Astyanax mexicanus: one gene and its partner. The protein of the gene in region 2 interacts with the protein of the main gene of each other region in a biochemical or structural test. Links are inferred from orthologs where the notes say so. Each region holds a gene or a part of one and is shown on either strand. Other genes may lie near its edges. The genes, in order: kin and mettl22.

The links.
Region 1: of the proteins of mettl22 (region 2) and kin, one has a biochemical effect on the other in vitro, tested with the Homo sapiens proteins (2 studies listed by BioGRID). The link is inferred for Astyanax mexicanus from reciprocal best matches to the Homo sapiens genes METTL22 and KIN.

What each region holds. Positions count from the first base shown.
Region 1 is NC_064409.1:21,087,850-21,098,204, forward strand, and holds the start of kin (DNA/RNA-binding protein KIN17), read right to left. Parts: upstream 4,510-10,355; 5' UTR 4,381-4,509; coding exon 4,267-4,380; intron 3,296-4,266; coding exon 3,201-3,295; intron 1,776-3,200; coding exon 1,732-1,775; intron 1,610-1,731; coding exon 1,487-1,609; intron 747-1,486; coding exon 562-746; intron 478-561; coding exon 374-477; intron 1-373. Other genes in the region: atp5f1c (ATP synthase subunit gamma, mitochondrial), read left to right, coding at 5,375-5,415, 5,917-5,951, 7,654-7,785, 8,168-8,372, 9,315-9,458, 10,333-10,355. UniProt on the Homo sapiens protein: Involved in DNA replication and the cellular response to DNA damage. May participate in DNA replication factories and create a bridge between DNA replication and repair mediated by high molecular weight complexes.
Region 2 is NC_064426.1:5,593,680-5,603,969, reverse strand, and holds the start of mettl22 (methyltransferase-like protein 22), read left to right. Parts: upstream 1-5,734; 5' UTR 5,735-6,176; coding exon 6,177-6,254; intron 6,255-8,138; coding exon 8,139-8,280; intron 8,281-10,290. Other genes in the region: transmembrane protein 114, read right to left, coding at 2,419-2,496, 2,592-2,769. UniProt on the Homo sapiens protein: Protein N-lysine methyltransferase. Trimethylates KIN at Lys-135 (in vitro).

The DNA of each region.
Region 1 (10,355 bases), on a different chromosome or scaffold from region 2:
GCTTTTCCCATAATAATAAATGGGGTGCAAAATTATGAGCGCCCGTCTATGGCGTCAAAACACCTGATAAGTGGAAAATGAAGCTTGAGAGCAATATTTTGTTTAGCGCACACACAATTTCCTTTTTTTTTTTTAGCTCGCAAGCGTCTTATCTGTGCTCACGAGAAATTAATTTACACATGCAAAATGTTAAAACACGCTGGTTAATTTTTTTCACCTGGTATTTTTGTGGCCACGACTTTTGACATTGATGCGACTCCATACCCTTCTTATTTTCAGAATCATACAAATACAAAGGGAACACGCATTCATACACCTGGGATAACAGTCTTCTATTCTTGCATGAAAGTCTTTTTACTGTATTTAGGGCAACCTTGGTTTAGAGGGACCTAAGGAGGAGGAGCTGCTGCCACCTAGGTTGAAGGCCACCTTCTCCTCCTCGCTCTCTCTCTTCAGCTCAGTGAACACCGGCTCTTCCTACACAGGAAATACAGGAACGTGGTTAAAATATAAAACTGGACAACTCAGAAACAGAATTCATAGCACTGAGAGCTGCGGTACCTCTGGCTCTTTGCCCTCTCTGCCTCGCCGCACTTGCTCTTCGATAAACTTGGCGCTGCGCTCTTCATCGTCCAGATCCTGCTTCTTCTTCTTCTCCAGCTCCTCCTGTCTGCGAATGGTCTCCGGGTCCCGGTCGATGTACTGAATATACCAGCCTTTCGGGGTCTCGTCCACTTTACAAAACCCTACATATGCACATGTGTCAGACAATAGATAACGTATTACCTTCAGGGTCTTGTTGATGCTCCTCTGACTCTAGTGAGGAGAAGAATGGTGTCTTTGTAATTCTCACTCTAAGCCGAAATGCTTTGTACATTCTATTTTTTGTACATTCGATAATTATGGTATTTCACCATGTATAGCACCACTGTCAATCTAAACTATAAGTCAGAAAGACAGAAAAAGTAGTCAATTACAAAAAGCAAGTTTGGCGTTAAACATTTACTCTGAAGTTATAAGTTATTCTGTATATTTTTTTCAGCCCCAGCTGCTTTTTTGAACAGGGCACAATTAGAACAGAGGTCATTTACACACACTGACTAGGGATGCACAGTAATGTCGGAGATATATTGTATTGGTCGATTAATGCTTTTTGTAGAATCATCTGCATCAGCCGATATGGCCAATATTTAAAATCAATTCTAGTTAACGTATTTAATGTATGCCCCAAAAAGCAGGACCAACTGGATAACAGTGGCTGTGATAGTTTTAAAAAGCTATTTTTTATTTATTTTTTATTACTTTTATAGGTATACCAAGATGTCTAGTCTCTCTGTAAGTGATACATATGTATAAATGGATGGGACATATCATTTCTTAAGTTGTGCAGGGGTTTAACATTCCTCCATGTAAAGTGTCACATATGTACCCGCAATTGTTTCATTAAATGCATAACTCAAACATGTTTGTATATTTCTGTGCTTACCTTCTCTCCCCAACCATTTGGTGAAATCTGTAAGGGTCTCCCACTGAGTGGAGTTCATGTGAACGTGTTCCCGGTGACTAATGTACTCATTATATACAATGTTGTTGTGGACTCTCTTCGTCCCTGTAAACACACAAAAACACAGACCCTGTTTAACAGACAGGTATTACTGAGAGTAAATAACAGCATACTGATCATTTAACCATCATTTAATACGCTGATCATCACATGAAACCATGCCTCACCAAAACGTCTTCTCAGCAGCTCCAGAAAGTCACTCTTAAACTCCCTGTACAGAAAATTAAAACAGGTTATCAACTTCAGTCACAGATTATTAACGTAAGTAGTGTTGTATTAATGACTGGTGACTAGGGGTGTCACGATCTCGATATTTTATCGAAATCGAATCTAAATGAGGTCACGATCTCGAGTATCGAAGTCAAAAAGAGGATCGACGATCCCTCCTGCGCGCGCTACGCAAATAGCGCAGCGCGCTACGCAAATGGCGCGGCACCAACACAGCGCATCCTATTCATTTAAATAGAGAGCCGCTGCATGAGCGCAGTCGGCGGGAGTGTGATCACTGTTTTTATCTGTCCAACGGGGGAGGGGGGGCGGGGGTTGGGCGCGCAGGTTTTGTATCTGTATCTAACGGAGGGGTGGGTGCGCGCAGGTGAGAGCGTGTGAACTCGCTGAAATGCGTGTGTCAGTGTGACTTGAGAACACTGACTATAGATCACAGTGAGGTGGATTAAAAATCTTAAACTTATAATTGACTACACCTGTTGCTTTCCATTGAATTAAAAAAACATCTTTCTCTCAGATAAAGTAAACACAAGCGTGTTTCTGACTAAAATAAAAGCTTTTCAGGAGAGATATAAGTTATGTGTAAATATTTATAAGACAATACCTGACAAAATCTGTTTTAATGACGTTAATAAACATCACTTATCTAACCAGCCTGTACTGATTTCTGCCCCCCAATAATGCTTTCAATAACCTCTAATAGCCTTTAATAGTCTTCAGTAGCCTTTAAAAGACTTACCTGGCGGCCGTGGTGTGTCCACTAAACTCCGTAGTTATAAACATCCTGAGGTTAGCAGCGCGCTAACTGACCTGTTTATAATGTAATCCGAGCAGTGACTCCGTGTCGACTGTTCTAACCTGCTGCTGTTAGCTGCTTGGGCTGAAAGATGAACTGTAGTGAGCTGTATTATCCGGTTAGTGGGGTTAAAACCTTTATTTGTTTACAGAAACAGTAAAAACGGACTGGCTGAGCTCTGTAGCCCGTGGCTGGGCTGTACTGAAGTAGTGACTGAGTGAAGAGAGCGGGGTGCTGCTGCTGCTAGTGGTTGGATGAAGAACTGCAGCTTCATGTAATGAGCAGTTTCACCAGCCATCCACACACAGCTCTGATAAACTGCTTGTTTTAATAGTGCACACTGTTGCTACCAAAAAAAGTCACTAGATGGCATTACCATATATATCTTAATAAATAATAATAATAATAATAATATTTATAATATTTATAATAATAATAATAATAAATATATTATTTAAATTTTATGAGGCATAAAATAATAACAAGAAAAAAAAAACAAGAAAATCGAGAATCGAATCGAATCGTGACCCTCAAATCGAAAATGAAATCGAATCGAGGATTTAGAGAATCGTGACACCCCTACTGGTGACCTTCAGAAACAGGGGGACTCACTCTGAGAAGTAGCTCATGAACTGGTTGGGATCCTCAGAGGCGAGCAGCAGCTGTCTCTGGTGGGACTCGGACATGCAGTGGCATTTAAATCCATTCTAATTGAGAAAGACAGAGCATCAACATCACTGTTCTAAGCATTGGACGGTATACTATGGCACAATTCTAATTCCTACCCCTTTGTTTGAGTGGAACACTTCCCCTTGGAACAGAGTTTAAATAAGAATCCTCCCACTAAAAATTAAGACAACCCTTCAAGATCCAGATACAGATATACAGTGTTGGAGCTCTACATTTTAATAACCTAGCTGCTGGTTAATTAGCTAATTTTAGAGCATTGTATCTCTTCAAAAAACACTATAAAATACTAAGTACCGTAAGATTATCTTTAAATGCGGTGATGTAATATTTTTGCAGTATCGCTCAGTTCTATCAGTGTGTGATTACCTACACCAAGGGCAATGGCTTTTACATCAATATAGAAAATTATATAATTTTATGATGAAGACATATATCATTACATAAATTTTGGTCTGGGTTGAATTTAATCTCTAGCCCAGCACAGAGCATTCTACTCTAGCTAAAAGGGTCTAAACCCCAAGTATGTAGAGCAGTGGAACTGTGTTCTCTGAAAAGATGGAGCTCCATCCAATACTTTTGAATAAGATTAGTTGGGAAGCTGGGGAAATATTACAGTAATATTTTCTGAATCTAGAAAAAGTCTTTCCTAAATATAAAGACAGTGACTCCAACAAAAGCAGCGTAAATTATGTTTTAATACCCTTTACTTAAAAAAAACTATGAGTAAGTGTGTCACAACAGCTTTGTGTATATTTTACACTAATATGACTCAGTAACGTAAATAACGTTTGTTAGCTAGTTAGCTAGCTTAGAATTTATATATGAGAGTTTGTCAATATCACGATACTCAGACACTCATCACGTATCAAAGTGTATAAACTACAACCAAAGAAAACAGAAAACCGTACAGAAACTAAAATAAAAATAACACTAATATACCTAAGCTAACTAACAGCTACTTAATAAAGGAAAACTGTAGTTAACTCACTTCATCTCGACACTGTTTCTGGCACATCTGACAGTACCAGCGCAGCTTCTGCAGCCCTTTAGCTTTAATTCGGTTCCCTATCGCTTTAGGGCTCAGGAAATCCGCCTTTCCCATGTTCAACCCTGACTACACACCTATAAACAAAGCGTTAATTTACTATTAAACTAAACTAGTTAACAGTTCCAGAGCCCCGTTCCTGCGTTTCTGTTCTGTTCTTCTGCCTCGCCGCTTCGTGTTTGTGTGTGTATGCGCTCTACGTCATCACTTCGTGTGTATCTGTAATAGCTAGAGAACAGAATGAATCACTCCATTGAATCGGTTCCTTTCAATTAGTCAAACCTTTTCAATTTTTTTACCCAAACTGTGAAGCTTTAGTAAAGATTTCTGTTGTTTACGACTAAATTATGGACTGAAGACTTTTAATACGGTGAGTACTCTTAATAAGTATTTTTTCCTTCAGTCTGATGTTTTAATTTAATTTAATAAAATATAACGTAATTTTCTCCATTGCGCATCAAAAACAGCACATAGCTTCATTCGACGAAAAGGGGGATTTTATATAATCCTACACATTAAATGTATATACAGTAAATAAATATTCATTTCAAATCATAATAAAAAACATCATTATAAATGTACAGAAAACGTCACCTAAAAAATCATAATCTAAATTAGGAAACTTAATTAGAAATGTAGTTTTGCAAATGTAATGTACCTGTATGTTTTCAGCAGATATAAGTAGGTTTTAAGCCTGATTTAAAAAAATAAGCTTTAAATAATATTAAATGTGTGTAAAATAACAAATAATCAAATATATATTTTTTTAATGGTTGATATGAATTTCCCCACAGATTGACTTTTTAAAATAATTATTAAATATTCATAAATGTAATCCACAGTAGTATACCATTTTGATTTTTTTTATTAAACGTTTAATATATTATTAAAGTGAGTCGATTCAAACGTGAATCTACCGTTTTTGAATAAGAACCTGAATCACCTGAAGAATCGGTTCAGTAAACTGAGTCGAACGTCAGCCGGATTCGACATTTTGTAGGCGCTGTACGCATGCGCAGTGCGGCCAGTCTGACCTTCATTGGAAGTGAACATGTTCTGCAGGGCCAGCGCGGTGGTGTTCCTCCCACAATGGTAAAGCCTTTAAAACTCTTCATTTTTACATTTTCTGATTAATGACATTGTGTAAAGCAGTATTACTGTGCAGTGAAGGTGTTCAGGGCCCGGTTCTGTCTGTTATTCGGGTCAGAAGCTCGCAAGGACGAGCCGGTCCCGGTAGGCCTCAGTAGCTTAACGTCAACGGCTGGATTAAGCCTGAGAGTGTGAACTTCACCAGTCTGAGTATTATAATCAATATTAACCCTCTGCATTTATCCACTGCCCTATATTACCCAAAATATAATAAAATAATTAACACACGGGTTTACATAGTTAAATAGCTGTGTAAATTGTAGTTGGGTTTAGCAGTTTGACCTGTTTGTATTAGAGCTACACATGCTTGATGACTGCTTCATATCATCTAGTATTAGGGCCTAAATATATAGATAGTTTAAGTGTAAAATGTAAGTGATGCTGGTCCCTATAAGAAAACTGAAGCTGTTTAATATAACTGATTGAATCCTCTCCTTGTTGCAGTGGGCAGGTCAGGAACATGGCTACCTTGAAGGACAGTAAGTAAACTAAAGCATTTATATTTATACATACAGAGATTTTCATTAAACATATAATTATCTATTTTAGTTTGGGATGCAATGATGTGGGAATTCTGTACAGATGCATATATCTGATATACACACTGATATGTCTGATACACACAGACTACACATCAGTATAGCTTTTATGACTTTATATCTAAATACTACAAATTAGTTGTTTGTGCTGCTGTTAAAGTGTTTTAAACTGTACAATTTTAAGTAGAAAAAATAGCTGAGGGATAATTGACTTAAAAGCTCCTTGTGATGAACCTCAGTCAGTTGATGTACTGTATGTATTTGTATGTAAGGACTTTTTTTTAAAGCTGCATATTTATTTACCTAAAAATTACAAAGCATTTATAGAAGATGCAAAATACTTATTTTTATTGCAGTAAAATAACTTATTTACATTCTGAAAATTTGAGGCCTTTAAAATCCAACTGGACACTTGAGCTACCTGTTCATGCTCTACTCCACTAAATAATTCCAGGTCAGTGACAGGAATCAAACCCAAATTATGCATGTCTGAAAATGTAAGGAATGTTTTGGAGGAGATGAACAGTTTCATTTATATTCAGGAAAATATTGATTTTAAAATGAAGTTTAGGAATAAAACAATTTTAAGATTTTATTCGTTATATTTTGACATATTTAAGTAAATATTTTTTAAATATTTTCTATTACAATTACAATTCTGCTTTTCAGTAATGTTCCTTATAAAACATTAAAGCTTTTTTTGTAATGTTAGAATAGAAATCCTCAAGATTTAGAGGTGTAATGTCAGGCAGACAGTTGACAAAAATCTTGGCATATTAGGTGATATAAATATTAACCTTTAGTAACGTGTTTTTTTTGTATTTTGTATTTTGATCAAAAGTTTACTTAGTTAGTTTCAAATAAAATAAAATAGTCCAAATAAAATGAAATGCTGGTTTTACATTTTAATACGATTTGCCATGAGACTTTTATTGTGAAACCCAAACTGGCAGGTTAGCCATAATGCTAACTGATTTCTGAATTGAATTAATAGCTATTGTTTGATAACAGATGGATAGCACTGTGCTGTTTAGATTAGTAGGATCTGTGGTTTAATAAAAAAGTGGATTATGGCTATATTTCACTCCGTTCTTTAGTTATTGACCACAGAATGCTGGAATGCTAGTTTACAGCTAACTTTAGCAGTAAGGACTGGAGCATGTTAGCCTGCATGCTAACTGTTTTCTGAGATTAATGAATGGCTATTTTGTGCTGTCCTTAAGATGTAACTTTGCTGGCTAGTAGCTACATATGGACGGTTCTACTGTTTGATATGACATGTATGATGTCTGTACTGTATTACTCTGGTCTTCAGTTATGAAGTTCAGAACTCCTAGCAGAGCTGTTCTGTTTGCCCCCAGTGAACATCACTGTAGCCATAGTGCCATAGTAGCCACAGTGTTTGGTCCTTTTCCAGCATACAATTCATGCTTTAGCGAGGACCAGGTTGGAAATAATGGGAGGAAAAAAGCATTTATCAGCAATTACTGATATAATTCCGATATCATTGTGCATCTAATGTTATTCAGTTTAATTGTGTTGATTTGCTTGCATGTAACATCTGTTTTATGGCATATTGACTGACTGGGGGTATGACCCGGTGATGCGTTTTTGTTCATTTCTTTTCTGTTTTGATCTTTAGTCACCATTCGGTTGAAGTCCGTCAAGAACATCCAGAAGATCACCAAGTCCATGAAGATGGTGGCCGCCGCCAAGTATGCTAGGGCTGAGAGGGCCTTGAAGCCAGCTCGTGTCTATGGCACTGGTGCTCTCTGTAAGTTTCCTTGAATAGATTTAGCCTGTTAATTGCAAAATATCTCATTGCTATAACATCAGACTATAATCCACCAATGAGACCTGCTGACAAATCACAAATGTGCAGAATGAGTTTCCCAAACTCAAATAATCTTGACAGTATGGTGCTTTATCGCTGCCATGCTGTGATGCCACAACATTGATACAACAAGTTTTGTTCATAAAGAATGATTTAATTGTATTGTCATTATGTTAAAAATATCTCTGGCGGGGGGGGGAAACAGGCCTATTTAGATATATACAGCAGCTCAGCTTTCATTAGCTCATATTGTGATTTCATTCATACTGTGATGTTATTGTGATTTATTGTCACTGTAATATTTGTACTGTGTGTGTTGCAGCGCTGTATGAGAAGGCTGACATAAAGGCTACAGATGATAAGAACAAGCACTTGCTCATTGGCGTGTCGTCTGATCGTGGGCTGTGCGGTGCCATCCACAGCAGCGTGGCTAAAGCCATGAAGAATGAAATCGCCAAGCTCTCCGGTGCTGGCAAAGAGGTGATGGTGGTGAATGTGGGAGACAAGCTGAGGGGTCTGCTGTACAGGTACGGCTTCTTTCTCCTGTTATTTTATTGTCTCTTACTGCCTCTCACTGGAATTTTACCTTGTAGGAGCTGAATTGGTTTTATGGAATGTTATTTGTGAATCTAACATCTTCATTTGGGTTTAATGTCTTCTTTGCACCAAAATAAAAGCTTTTGATTGAACAAAAAGAAACATGGCTGATGGCTGAATTTGAAGATCAAACCTAGTATACATGTTTAAAAAAAATCAGATAACCAGTATAAATATTTGTCCAAATAGTTTTAGTCGTTGAATATTATGAGTAGACATTTAATAACTAACAATTACCATTTGTAATCGTAAAGGTATCATTGTCAGACTCTAGGACTAGAGAAGGACTGCTGTTCAGCCAACTACAGAAGAGCATTCTGTACCATTTAATTGGTATAAAATCCACAGTCATTAATGTTGGGCAAACAGGCAAAAACTGTACACTGGAGGAATTTATAAATATCAGTAACAAATACAAATTCAAATAAATAATTTAAAATAAGTAATTAAATAAATAGGTAGTCAAGTAAAACAAGTAAAGTAAACCTTTTATTTTTTTTTTTTAATAAATAATAATAAAAAAAATAATGACTGACAATAATTATTATTTTTTAATGACATAATTATACCATCAATTCTGCTGCACAAAAGCCTCTAATTAAAGGGGGGCAGCCCGATTTAACCATCCTAAAACCTGTTTACCCAGTTCCTGGCAGCCAGGTGGCTAATGCTAAGCTAGAAATTTCCTCGCTACTAAATATTCCTTTAGTCAACTGTTGGTGATATTAACAAAATGAAAGCAACTGGGAACAAAAGCAACTTACTGTCAACTTAAAACTGCAAAGAGGGATCAGTGGATGCTGGGTAGCATAGTGTGCAGAGGTAGCATAGTGTGTGTGATTGTGATCTCTCTCTTGTTTTCTTCCTTCCAGGACCCATGGCAAACACATCCTCATGAACTGTAAAGAGGTGGGCAGAAAACCCCCAACTTTCACTGATGCTTCTGCCATTGCCATAGAGCTGCTGGACTCTGGCTATGAGTTTGACCAGGGCTCCATCATCTACAACAGATTCAGGTCAGTGTTATAAAGCACCTTTTGCAGAGCTCCAGAAGTACATGCAAATCTACCAGAAATGGATGTCCAGCATGACTTTAAATGAATGGTTCACTCTGTATAGCAGATTTTGGAGTAACATAAATGTTGGGTAGTTATAATCTGCCCCTGCTAGATATACACTGTACTGTGTGTTTAGCAACAAATAAAGAGAAAAGGGTGATAAAATAAAATCATGTAATTTTGCGTTGCACATGCTGTGATTTGATTTGACTACAAATTGCTATTAAGCATGCATAAATTGCACTGTACTTGTTTTCCTTGCCATATGGGTCTCCTGGAATGGATTGGATTATGTCTGCCTAGTAGATGCACTTGTTGCACTTATTTTAGGTGCACTGATTGCATTAATAAAATATTGGATGGTTCATTTCTGCAGTTCTTTTCAATGGGGTGCAGCCCCCAATATTTATTTATTTATTAAAACATTCAAGTTCAATATTTTGTCAGTATGTACAGTTACATTAACAATTTATGACAGTAAGGAGGAAAAATGGCTAATTCTGCAAAATTTGGCAGTTTAGACATTAGACATAAATGGCTGTGCGTTAAGTTTTTTTTAGGGCACAGCAAATTTACACTGTTACACAAGCTCTACACCGAATACTATACATTTGTACATCTTCAGTATTGTCCCATAAAAATGTATAATAAAATGTAAAAAAGTAAACCGTGAGTACACCCCTTACATTTTTGTAATATAATATAGTGAAGGGTGTTCTCACTTTTTTTAGGTACTGCATTTGTATTGTGTCAGTTCATTGTTTTGTTTTGTTGACTGAGTTATTGTACAGAATTAGCTCTAAGTAAGACTTGTTCCTCTGTGTGTGTGCAGGTCTGTTATTTCCTACAAGACAG
Region 2 (10,290 bases):
TTGAATCACTGAACCCATGCTTTTTACAGTCAGAAGCTGAATGCATTCATTATAATAGGCTGTCCACAAACACTTGAACAGAATCAGAAGTGCAGATCACTGACTGTGTCCACACTGTATCTCTCAGGCTCATCAATCTAATGAAGTATCAGACCCAAGCCTGATTTTCTGTGGGATTTCTTGAGTACACTTTTCAATCATCATTATTTTCTAAGCGCTCACATCTGGACATGCATGGAGACGTTGACTGAGGGAAATGTATCCAGGCGTGGCAGAGCGGATCGTTATTATTCTAGTGCTGGAGTCAATTTTACTTCTGAAGACGAAGGTACTCTAGATAAACCGCAGCTGATGATGATGCTCTGAGTGTGTTCTGTGCTTTAATGTGGCATGGTGCTCCAACAGGCTTCCCTTCAATGATCTCATTACCAGCTCAAACTACTGTTAAGTGCAATTATTTCATTATTCATGAAAGCTTTCTGGCTTTCTGAGGAGATCCACTTGCGGAAGGAACAGAAGAGTCAAAGTAAAATAAGTGACAAAATCAGGAGTTTCCAAAACGTTCTCTGTCCAATGGTGGAGTCTGACTTTGTGTCATTTCATTTACCACCCCATATAAGAAAATAGAAAATTAATACTACAGAATTCTACCTAAACCATGTAAATCCAAGAAATGTGTAATGTAGTGAAACTGGAGAAGATTAGATACATGAGATATGGTTCAATCCAAAAATTCTATATGGTTATGGGCCTCCCTTTTCATATGTTCAAAATACAAAATTTAAGAGACCAAGTTTCTGAATCAGTTTCTCTGAACATTGTTGTTTTAATTATATAACCTTTATTCTATGACCTGTTTTAAAGTTTGAAGATGTAGGAAAAATAGTTACAAGTATTTTTTTTTGTAAAAAAAAAAAAACCTTCTCCTGCTTGCTTTAATTAGAGTAATCAACATATAATATGAAAATTGTTCATCTCACATATTGGCAAAATTGCAAAAACTAAACTGAAACAAAATTGTAATGTTATGTTTAAATTATGTTATGTTATGTAAAACTATTGTGTTTTATATGTTGGTGTTTCAAAAGGAATAAAGTAGTGATATATATATATATATATATATATATATTTCTTTTTTTTTTGGGGGGGGGGGGGGATTTGTGAATTATACTTATCGATTATCCCATTACCTGTTAGAGGTAAGGAACATCATTGCACTAAATATTGATAGAATAATTAGTAATGGAGTTAGTAATGAAATATTAACACTGCTTGTAAGGTTTTTTTTTAATCTTTTGAATAATTAAAAGTGCACCGGGTCAAACTGACCCTAGAAGACCTTTGCTGTTCCTGACAAATGAACATAACAGGAGGGTTATTTATGCATAAAGTTGAACAAATCAGACCAATTTGTTTACTCAGCCATTTAAATCGCTAATATATTACAGAAAGAAAGTAATTAAAACCTCTGAACTAGGATTAACATACAGTAACAGTCAAACGTTTGGACACACCTTGAATTCACTAGTTTTTTTTTTTCATTATTTTTAAATCTTCTGCACTGTAGATTAATACTAAGCTCATTGGAAATATTTAATAAACATAAAAAGGTGTTAAACAAACCAGAATATGTTTTATATTTTAGATTCTTTAAACTAGCACCTCTTGCTTAGATTAGACAGTTTTGCACATCTTGGCTGGATTTTCTTCGTCAGCTTTATGAGGTAGAGTCACCTGGAATTCCAGTGTTTCAGTTAACAGCTGTGCTGCTGAACTCATAAAGAGTTAATTACTTGTTGAATTTCTTGCCTCTTAATAAAATGTTTGAGAGCATCAGTTGTAAAGTAGTGAAGAGGTAGAGTTACAGGTATACAGTGAATAGTGAATATTTGAGTAATGTTGTAATCAGTATTATGGCAAGAATTACACAAGTAACTAAAGAAAAATATGTACATTAGGAAACGAAGGTCAGTCAGTCTGAAAAAGTTCAAAAACTTACAAGACCATCAAAAATTATATAATGAAACTGGTTCTAATCAGAGAAACAGTTACATCTGTTGAGTTACCAGCCTCAGAAGCCGCAAGTTACCAGCTCACCAGATAAGAGCACCTAAATGCTTCTTCACAGAGTGTTTTGGTTTGTTTAACATTTTTAAGTTACTACATGATTCCTTATGTGTTTCATCATAGTCTGAATGACTTCAGTATTCATTTACAATGTAAGAAATAATTATTATTATCGCTGTCATACAAAAATAGTCTCTTTTTGTTGATTTTTACTTTTTCACAAAATGCTGTTTATTGTCAGTTGTTCTTGATATTATGTCCAGATTTTATAATGAATGGACCAATAGAAAAGCAGCAATAAAATGCATTATCTATTACAAATTTAAAGAAAAGAAATAAAGCAGCTCTTACTCAGTATCTGCCTCTGAGAGTCTGTGAAGTTTCTTCCATTCCTGAATGGATTCATAAACGGCCAGCACTGGTTCTGAACTGCATAAAAAATTATAAAAGAACTTAAACACAAACTTATAAATATATATTATATAATAAATCATTTCTATCACACAGACAGTGAAGAGACTTACGGTTGCAGGTCCTCCACAGTCCAGAGTGTGAGCTGAGAGGAACAGAGGAGTTGGTGTCTCTTTTAGAGGTGTCAATAATGTACCAGAAATCCGTCCCAATGGCCAGAATCAGACACACGAAGCTCAGGACCCCGAAAGAGGCCACAGACACAGCCAGCCCCCCCAGAGTGAGCTTCATCCTCAGAGCTGAGGGTCTCCTGTGGGCTCCAGGCTGAGTACAGAACAGCAGTGAGAGCAGCTGGAGCGCCTGTGTGAGTGTGTGAGGGTGTGTGTGTGTGTGGCTGGTGTGTGTGTGAGGGTCTTTACTGCAGTGTGGGGTTGTGAACAGGAGGCGGCAGTGTGCTCTATTAACAGACCACTATAAATGATCCTCTCTCTCTATCTTTCTCCCCCACTCTGTATTTCTCTATTCATCCCTCCGCTTTTTATGTTCTCCCTCTCTTTCTCTTTCTCTCTATCAATATCCCTCGCTCTCTGTTTCTCCCATTACTCACTTGCTCTCTATCTAACCATACCTCCCTTCTCTCTCTGTCTATCTCTCTTTTTCTTTGGCCCTATCTTTCGCTACCTTTTTCTCTATTTCTCAATATCCCTCACTATATCTTTCTTCCACACTCTGTCTTTCTCTATTGTCCCTGCAGTTCTTGTTCTATCTCCCTCTCTCTCTCTCTCTCTCTCAATATCCCTCGCTCTCTGTTTCTCACCTGCATTCTTTATCCTTGCCTCTCTTTCTCTCTCTCTCTTTCTCCCCACTCTGTATTTCTCTATTCATCCCTCTGCTTTTTATGTTCTCCCTCTCTTTCTCTTTCTCTCTGTCAATATCCCTCGCTCTTTATTTCTCCCATTCCGTACTTGCTCTCTATCTAACCATACCTCTCTATGTCTTTATTTCTCTCTCTGTCTATCTCTCTCTCTCTCTGCCCCATCTTACCTTTTTCTCTATATCTCAGTCTTTCAATATATCTCAAGTCCCTCACTATTTCTCTCTCTTTTCCCTTTTCTTTCCTCTTTCCCTTTGTCCTATTCTCCATCTCTCTGTTTCTCTCCTCATCTTCACTATATCTCTCATTCTTCTCTCTATTTCTCTCTGCCTGTTTGTTTCTCTATATGCTTTCCACCTTCTTTTCACTTCCCCTCTTTTTTCTCTCTCTCTCTCTCTCTCTCTCTGTTTTTTACTCAGTCTATCTGACACTTCTCTTTCTTCTTCTTCTATTCCACTTTCTCAACATTCTCTCTCTCTCTTTTCTTTCTCTACCATTATTCCATCTCCTTGTTTTTTTCTTTCTCTCTCTACATATCCGTCCTCTTCTTGCTCTCTCTTTCTCACTCTTTCTCAATATCACTCATTCTCTGTTTACCTTACTGTCTTTCTCCACCTTTAAATCTCCCCCCTCCCTCTGTCTCTATGTTTCTATCATCAGTCACCCCCACTTTGTCTAAGCTTATCTCTTCTGCTCTTCCCACTCTCTCGCTCTCTCTCTCTTACACACACTATCTCTCTTTTTCATTGCTCTGCTTCTCTCTTTCTTCATCTTTATGTATCGCTCCCCTTCTCACACTCCCTCTCTCTCACACACTTTCACTCTTAATATCCCTCATTCCTGCTCACTCTGTTCTCTCCTTAGTCTCTCCCAATCAGTCTTACACACCTCTCTTCACCACATCTATAGCACCACCAGTCAGTTGTGCTTTGCGCAGCTGGATTTAAGGCATGTCGGTGTGTCTTTGCTCTTCCTTTCCTGGGGCAGTCCTGATGAGAGCCAGTTTCATCATAACATTTTTAATGGTCTTTGCGACTGAAAAATGAAGATGCTTGAAGAAGTTCTTGAAATGTTTCGGATTGACTGACCTTCATTTCTTTCGTATTTCGTTTTCTTTAATTAGTTGAGAGTTCTTCTCATAATCTGGATTAGAACTCAAAATAGAGCTATTCACTGTATACCAACTGTACCTCTTCACAACTTTACAACTGATGCTCTCAAACTAATTAAAAGGCAAGAAATTCAGTACAGCTGTTACCTGAAAACCAATCCAGGTGACTCCACCTCATAAAGCTGACTGAGAAAATCCAGCCAAGAAAAAAAGATAAAAAGAAAATGCTCAGTATTAAAAAAAATACTAATGACAATATTGCAGATATTAGATGCTACACATGTATATACTAGTGCATCTCAAAAAATCTGAATATCATTGAAAAAAAATCATATTAATGGCACTCCTATTACTTTCTGTTACTGGAACTCATTGCTATTTCTGGCACTTATTAATATTACTTTTTATGTTTTGAGTAACAGGAATTAAAGTAATAGGAATGGGATTTAGCATATAATTAGCAAAAACATAGCATAGCAAAAGATAGTTAATAGCATGAGGAGACTATGCACATTTTAGTTATTTTACCAAAATTAGTATTTTAAAAATAAATAAAAATTAAACTAGTTAACTGGACAGAGTGTTGAGATGTTGAGTGTTGAGCTCCTCAGTCATAGTTAAAATAAGATCAAATACACAGAAAAGCAAATGAGGGAACTTAATTTATTTATTTATTTTCTCCATAATCTTAAGAAGAACCAACTGATGTCACTTCCTGTTGTAAATGTGACTTGTAGAATGTGCCAGATGTTTCAGATGGGGTAATGTGTTATGGTATCAGGACGGTGTGAAACCCAGGGACACAACAAAAATGTGTATTTTAACACAAATATGATTAATTTATTATGAAAAATATATTTTTAAGCATATATGGCATTTGAAATCTCACAACAATGCAAACAAATACATCTCTTTAGAGAGTGGGGACACGTAACAGATGCTATTTTTTTATTATTATTATTTTATTATTTATTAATGTTTTTAATTACATATCTTACTTTTCAATTAAGTCATGGTACAATACATTACGACTAATAATCTTTCCTGGGGACAGAAATGGTACCATTCGGTGGAATGGCCCATAGACATATACAGTATATTGCGTTGAGGGCTCCACAGCAGGTGCAGGAGGAACCAGGACAGGCGGAACTATTGTGCAGAGCGTCATGACTCACACGGTAATCTTTTTTTCCGGGCGCGCTGAATCTGGCTACGCTAGCTCTGTTTCTAAAAGCCTATCGGTGAAGTTTCGAGCTGATTTTAAGGTACAGAAAGAGAAGCTTGAGTTAAGAAAGGAGTTGTGCTTTATTGTCCTCCTCTCCAGCGGGTGGAGAGAGGGCTGAATAAGCTGGAGTTGAGCTGCAGAGCGGAGATTTCATCGGGATAAGGGGGTGTGTCTCCTCTAGCTTTAGCCAGCTAACCTCACTGACTTTAACCCTAAAGCTGATTAATGACTGATTATACAGCGAAAATAATTACTGAGCTACCGAAAAAGAGTTCAGAGTATCCACAGAAATGTGCTGTTATTCCAGTAAAGAATAAATAAAAGTAGTTAACTAAAGCTGGGTAACAGAAAGCAGCTCGAGTAGCGTTAATAACCTTTCAGGTAGGTGTAGGTTAGGTCAGTGTGTCTCTGATACAGGTGGCCGATACTACCGCTGTTATTTTAGATTCGGTACCAAATAATACCGTGTATAATATACCGATACTGATATGAAAATTTGTCCTGTACATGAAACAGAAAAAACAAACAAACAAAACAAACACAAATCTTCTGAAAGCCAGGAAATGGTCAGTATTAAAAAATAAAATCGTTGTGTTTTTCAGTATGTTACATACACACACTTTCAGAGCCCCCAAAGTAAAAAACATTATAGTTAAAAGATAATAAATAAAGAAAGTAAAGGATGCAGCTCTGGAAATGAATTATACAATTGAGGAAATGTTTTTAGCAAATTGAGAGAACAATTTATTTAATCATAGAATGAATAGTAATGTTGAGGCAACAATTCCTTACATATGGAAAACATAATTTATTGAATTGAGATTTTTCTAACCTAATTAATCACATATTGTTAGACCTAGGGAAATATTAATTATATTAATGGAGCCATTTATTCATATGAATAAACTTTTTTATATTATATTATTTTATATTATTGCCAGTAGGACAAATCTGAGCCAGTGATTGGGTAGCATATAGTGGCTAATTGCTTTCATTAGAACCTTGCTGACCTCACATACAGCTGAAAAAAGGGTAACTAAAGTGCTGTTGCCAGTTACATCTCTATTAGTACACTTTTCTGTATAGATGTTACACATTTATTACCTAAATTTACTACATCATCATTATCTGCACAGCTACCCTTTTAGATACAGTGTTTTCCCACTGCCGATGCCGATATAGGATATTACACGTGTGTATATATTTGCTAATGCAGATATACATATTTATTACTTACAAAGAGCCTAGACACCCCATTATAACTTTATAAATAAATGCAATATCTACCTGCCTTGTATTGTAGCTTTTAACTAACTTTATATAAACAATATAATGAAAAGTTGTTTTGTTTTTTGTTTTTTTTTTTACATTTTTTTTTCTATTGAAAGAAATAAAAATATTTGTTTTTAAATATCTTAAATCAATGGATTTTAGAAGCATGCCTAGTGTTGGACAGTTGTAATAGCATAGCCAGTATCGTTTGGTCCTTTTGGCATACAGTATAAATGGCAGCAAATATCAGTTTGAAATATCGAACAAATCTAGGCATTGGTCAGATGCCAATGAGTCTAGAAAATGCAATTATCGGCGGATACAGTTATAATTAGATACAGATATTGTTGTGCAACCCAAAATATAATGTGTATTTTTTTCATTTTATTAGTTTGGAACATGCTATCAGCTTATGGCTATGCAGGAAAAGAAAGCAAGATGTGTATTCAGGTGCATCTCAAAAAAGTAAATCATTGAAAAGTTACTATATTTCAGTAATTTATTCAAAATGTGAAATGTATACTGTATATTATATAGATGTATTACACACAGAGTGATCTACTTTAAGCATTTATTAATTTTATCATTGATGATTATGACTTCCATACTTAATAAAAACCCAAAAGTCAGTATTTCAGAAAGTAAGCATAATATATAAGACCAATTGGTACTTTTAACAGTGTGAGCAGTGTGCAGAGTCCTGCTGGAAAATGAAATCCGCATCTCTATAAAAGTTGTCAGTAGCAGAGGTTCAGCATGAAGTGCTGTAAGATTTTGTGGGAAAACAAAACTGCACTGACTTTAGACTTGATAATAAAACACAGTGGATCAACACCAGCAGATGACATGCCTCTTCAAAACCACTATTAGCAGTAGAGTGTGCTAGTTTAATTTCCTGTAAACCCTTAATTTCCTGTTAACCATGAAAAAGCCCTATTTTTTAAAAGTATTTGTTCTCTAGGTCATGCACAAAAACATCTGTGTCCACTGTTATGTTAGAATGCCAGCTGCCCTTTAGCTTGTGTACGGTAGTCTTTTCATGATGAATTGACTATAGGATAGGTCCATATTGATTTTAATAAAGGTTAATTCTGTCTTTATTTTTATTTCAGAGATCTAAGTGCCATTGTCTATCCGTCTAAATCAGTGATATACCTTTTGTATTTGCTTGTTTTCAGGAACAGTGGGCGGAGAAAGGACATACAGGGGTGGCCATGGACCAGGTCACCTTCCAGAGTGACACAGTGCTCTCAGATGTGCACATTTTGCTGCCAAATGTTCGTCACCTCATGGTTCGACTCAATAGCGTAGGACAGCCAGGTAAGGGGTGGGTGGGTTCACATGATAGTCTGGTCTGGCCATTCATGTATCAGTTTTTGTATTTTATTATTATTTTACTGTCCACTGTGGGTGGTAATGCCTTCTATAAGGAATTCCTGGTATGCACATGATGCGGTGGACGTTAAATACTAAAATCTCTGAACATTTTAATTAGAGGTACTGAATATTTATACGGACAATTATGCATAATAACCAAAAACATAGACATAGACAAACATAGTTTTTTCCCTCTATGGCTGTTGCCTATGGATGGCTGTGGCATCACCAAGAATCTTCCTTTGACAGCACCTTTGCATCTTGGGAGCACAAATACTTTTTTTTTCTTTCTTAATTTTTTATATCTAAATAATCGTAAAGGACATGCCCTGCACATGCATTTCTGGACAAGCTGCAATATTCAGAACCACAAATATGACTGTCATATGAATGTCATATATGTCATTACACAGTTGTCGTATGCATTTTCTTGTCTGCTTCAACAGAGTTACACAGTGCAGTTAGCAGTGTGCTGAGCTTTAGGCTGAAAGAAATAGAGATGCTTTTCTCTCTATTGTAATGGAACTAATGCAACTTATGATTATTTTGGTATTTTGGTAGTCGACTAATCTGACGATTATTTTTTTGATTAATCAATTAGTCAGCGATTATTTCTGCAATCTCTAAAAACGATAGAAACAGCAGAACATGAAATTTAAATGGCATTTAGATGTCTGAATGTGGTTTAAACATGAAAAGTACTGATATTTAGTAATTAAAAATGTAATCTCTTGTGTTTTGGGCATTTTTGGAAACACAAACTAAGTTGAGGGTAAACTGTGTGAGTGAGCTGTTTACCCATCTCCCATTGCGCTTCTGTCACCAGCACTCTGTGTAATGCGGTACTGTTACAAATTACTGATTAGTTGACATTGAAATTTGTAGTTGACAAATTTTAAAAATCGACATTGTCGATTATATCGACTAATCGTTACAGCCCTACATGTTGTTGAAACACAATGTTTTGTTAAGGGAAAATTTTCTATGCTTCCTGTTGTTGTTTTTATGCTTCAAGAGAGCTTCTTTTTTTTCCCGCCACCCCTTCTCTTTGGAGGAGTAATAAAGCTTTATTAGTGTTTATACAGAGTTATAGTTTCTGTGGTCATTATGCATATAATAGAAAGATAATAATATAAGCAAAATACCAGGCAAAAAAGGAGGAGTGAATATAAAGAAACCCTCAGAAATTAGGGGGAAAAAGATGGAAAATATAGCAAAAAAGACAAATATTAATGAACATCAACAAAGAAAGCAGAACAGCTACGAAGTAGTACGTTTTTGTACTGTATGTGGAAATAAATAGAGAATAAAGAGAGAAAAGATGTATAAAGGACAAGAGGGAATAAAGATAAGTATCTGCTCAATCTGTGTGTAAAAAAGACTTGTGTCATCTGCTTAATGCGAACGTTACATTATTAATGCTACTACTGTGTCTAATAACCCCAGTCATGCTTGTTGCTTAATTCCAGTCTGCTTTGTTTTCCTTTATGTCACATTTGAGTTCAGCTGCTGCTGCGCTAATGAAGGCTAGACCGCTAGACATATTGCGCCTGTTCAGCTTTATGTCTTACCAGAGCGGTAACACTTCCTATGAAGCCTGTATTCATAATGCATTATGAGTGTATTTATAATGCGTTATATGACATACATAATGCCTTATAATGACTGTAATAAGCTTGTATAATAACTCATAAGCGCTTACAATGACATTCATAACACATTATAAGCTACAAGTATAAGGATTTATAAAGCCAGGGTTTATAATGCCTTATAATGTCTGTTCATAAGAACGTTGAACATACTAATGTTGTAATGCACTATAACACATATATGGTATATTCTAGTATCACAAGTTATAATACATTATAATGTGCATCTTTAATTTTTAAATTAAAGTACATAACACATTATAAAGCATTATATACAGTCATTACAGGCTTTAAGTGAAGTGAG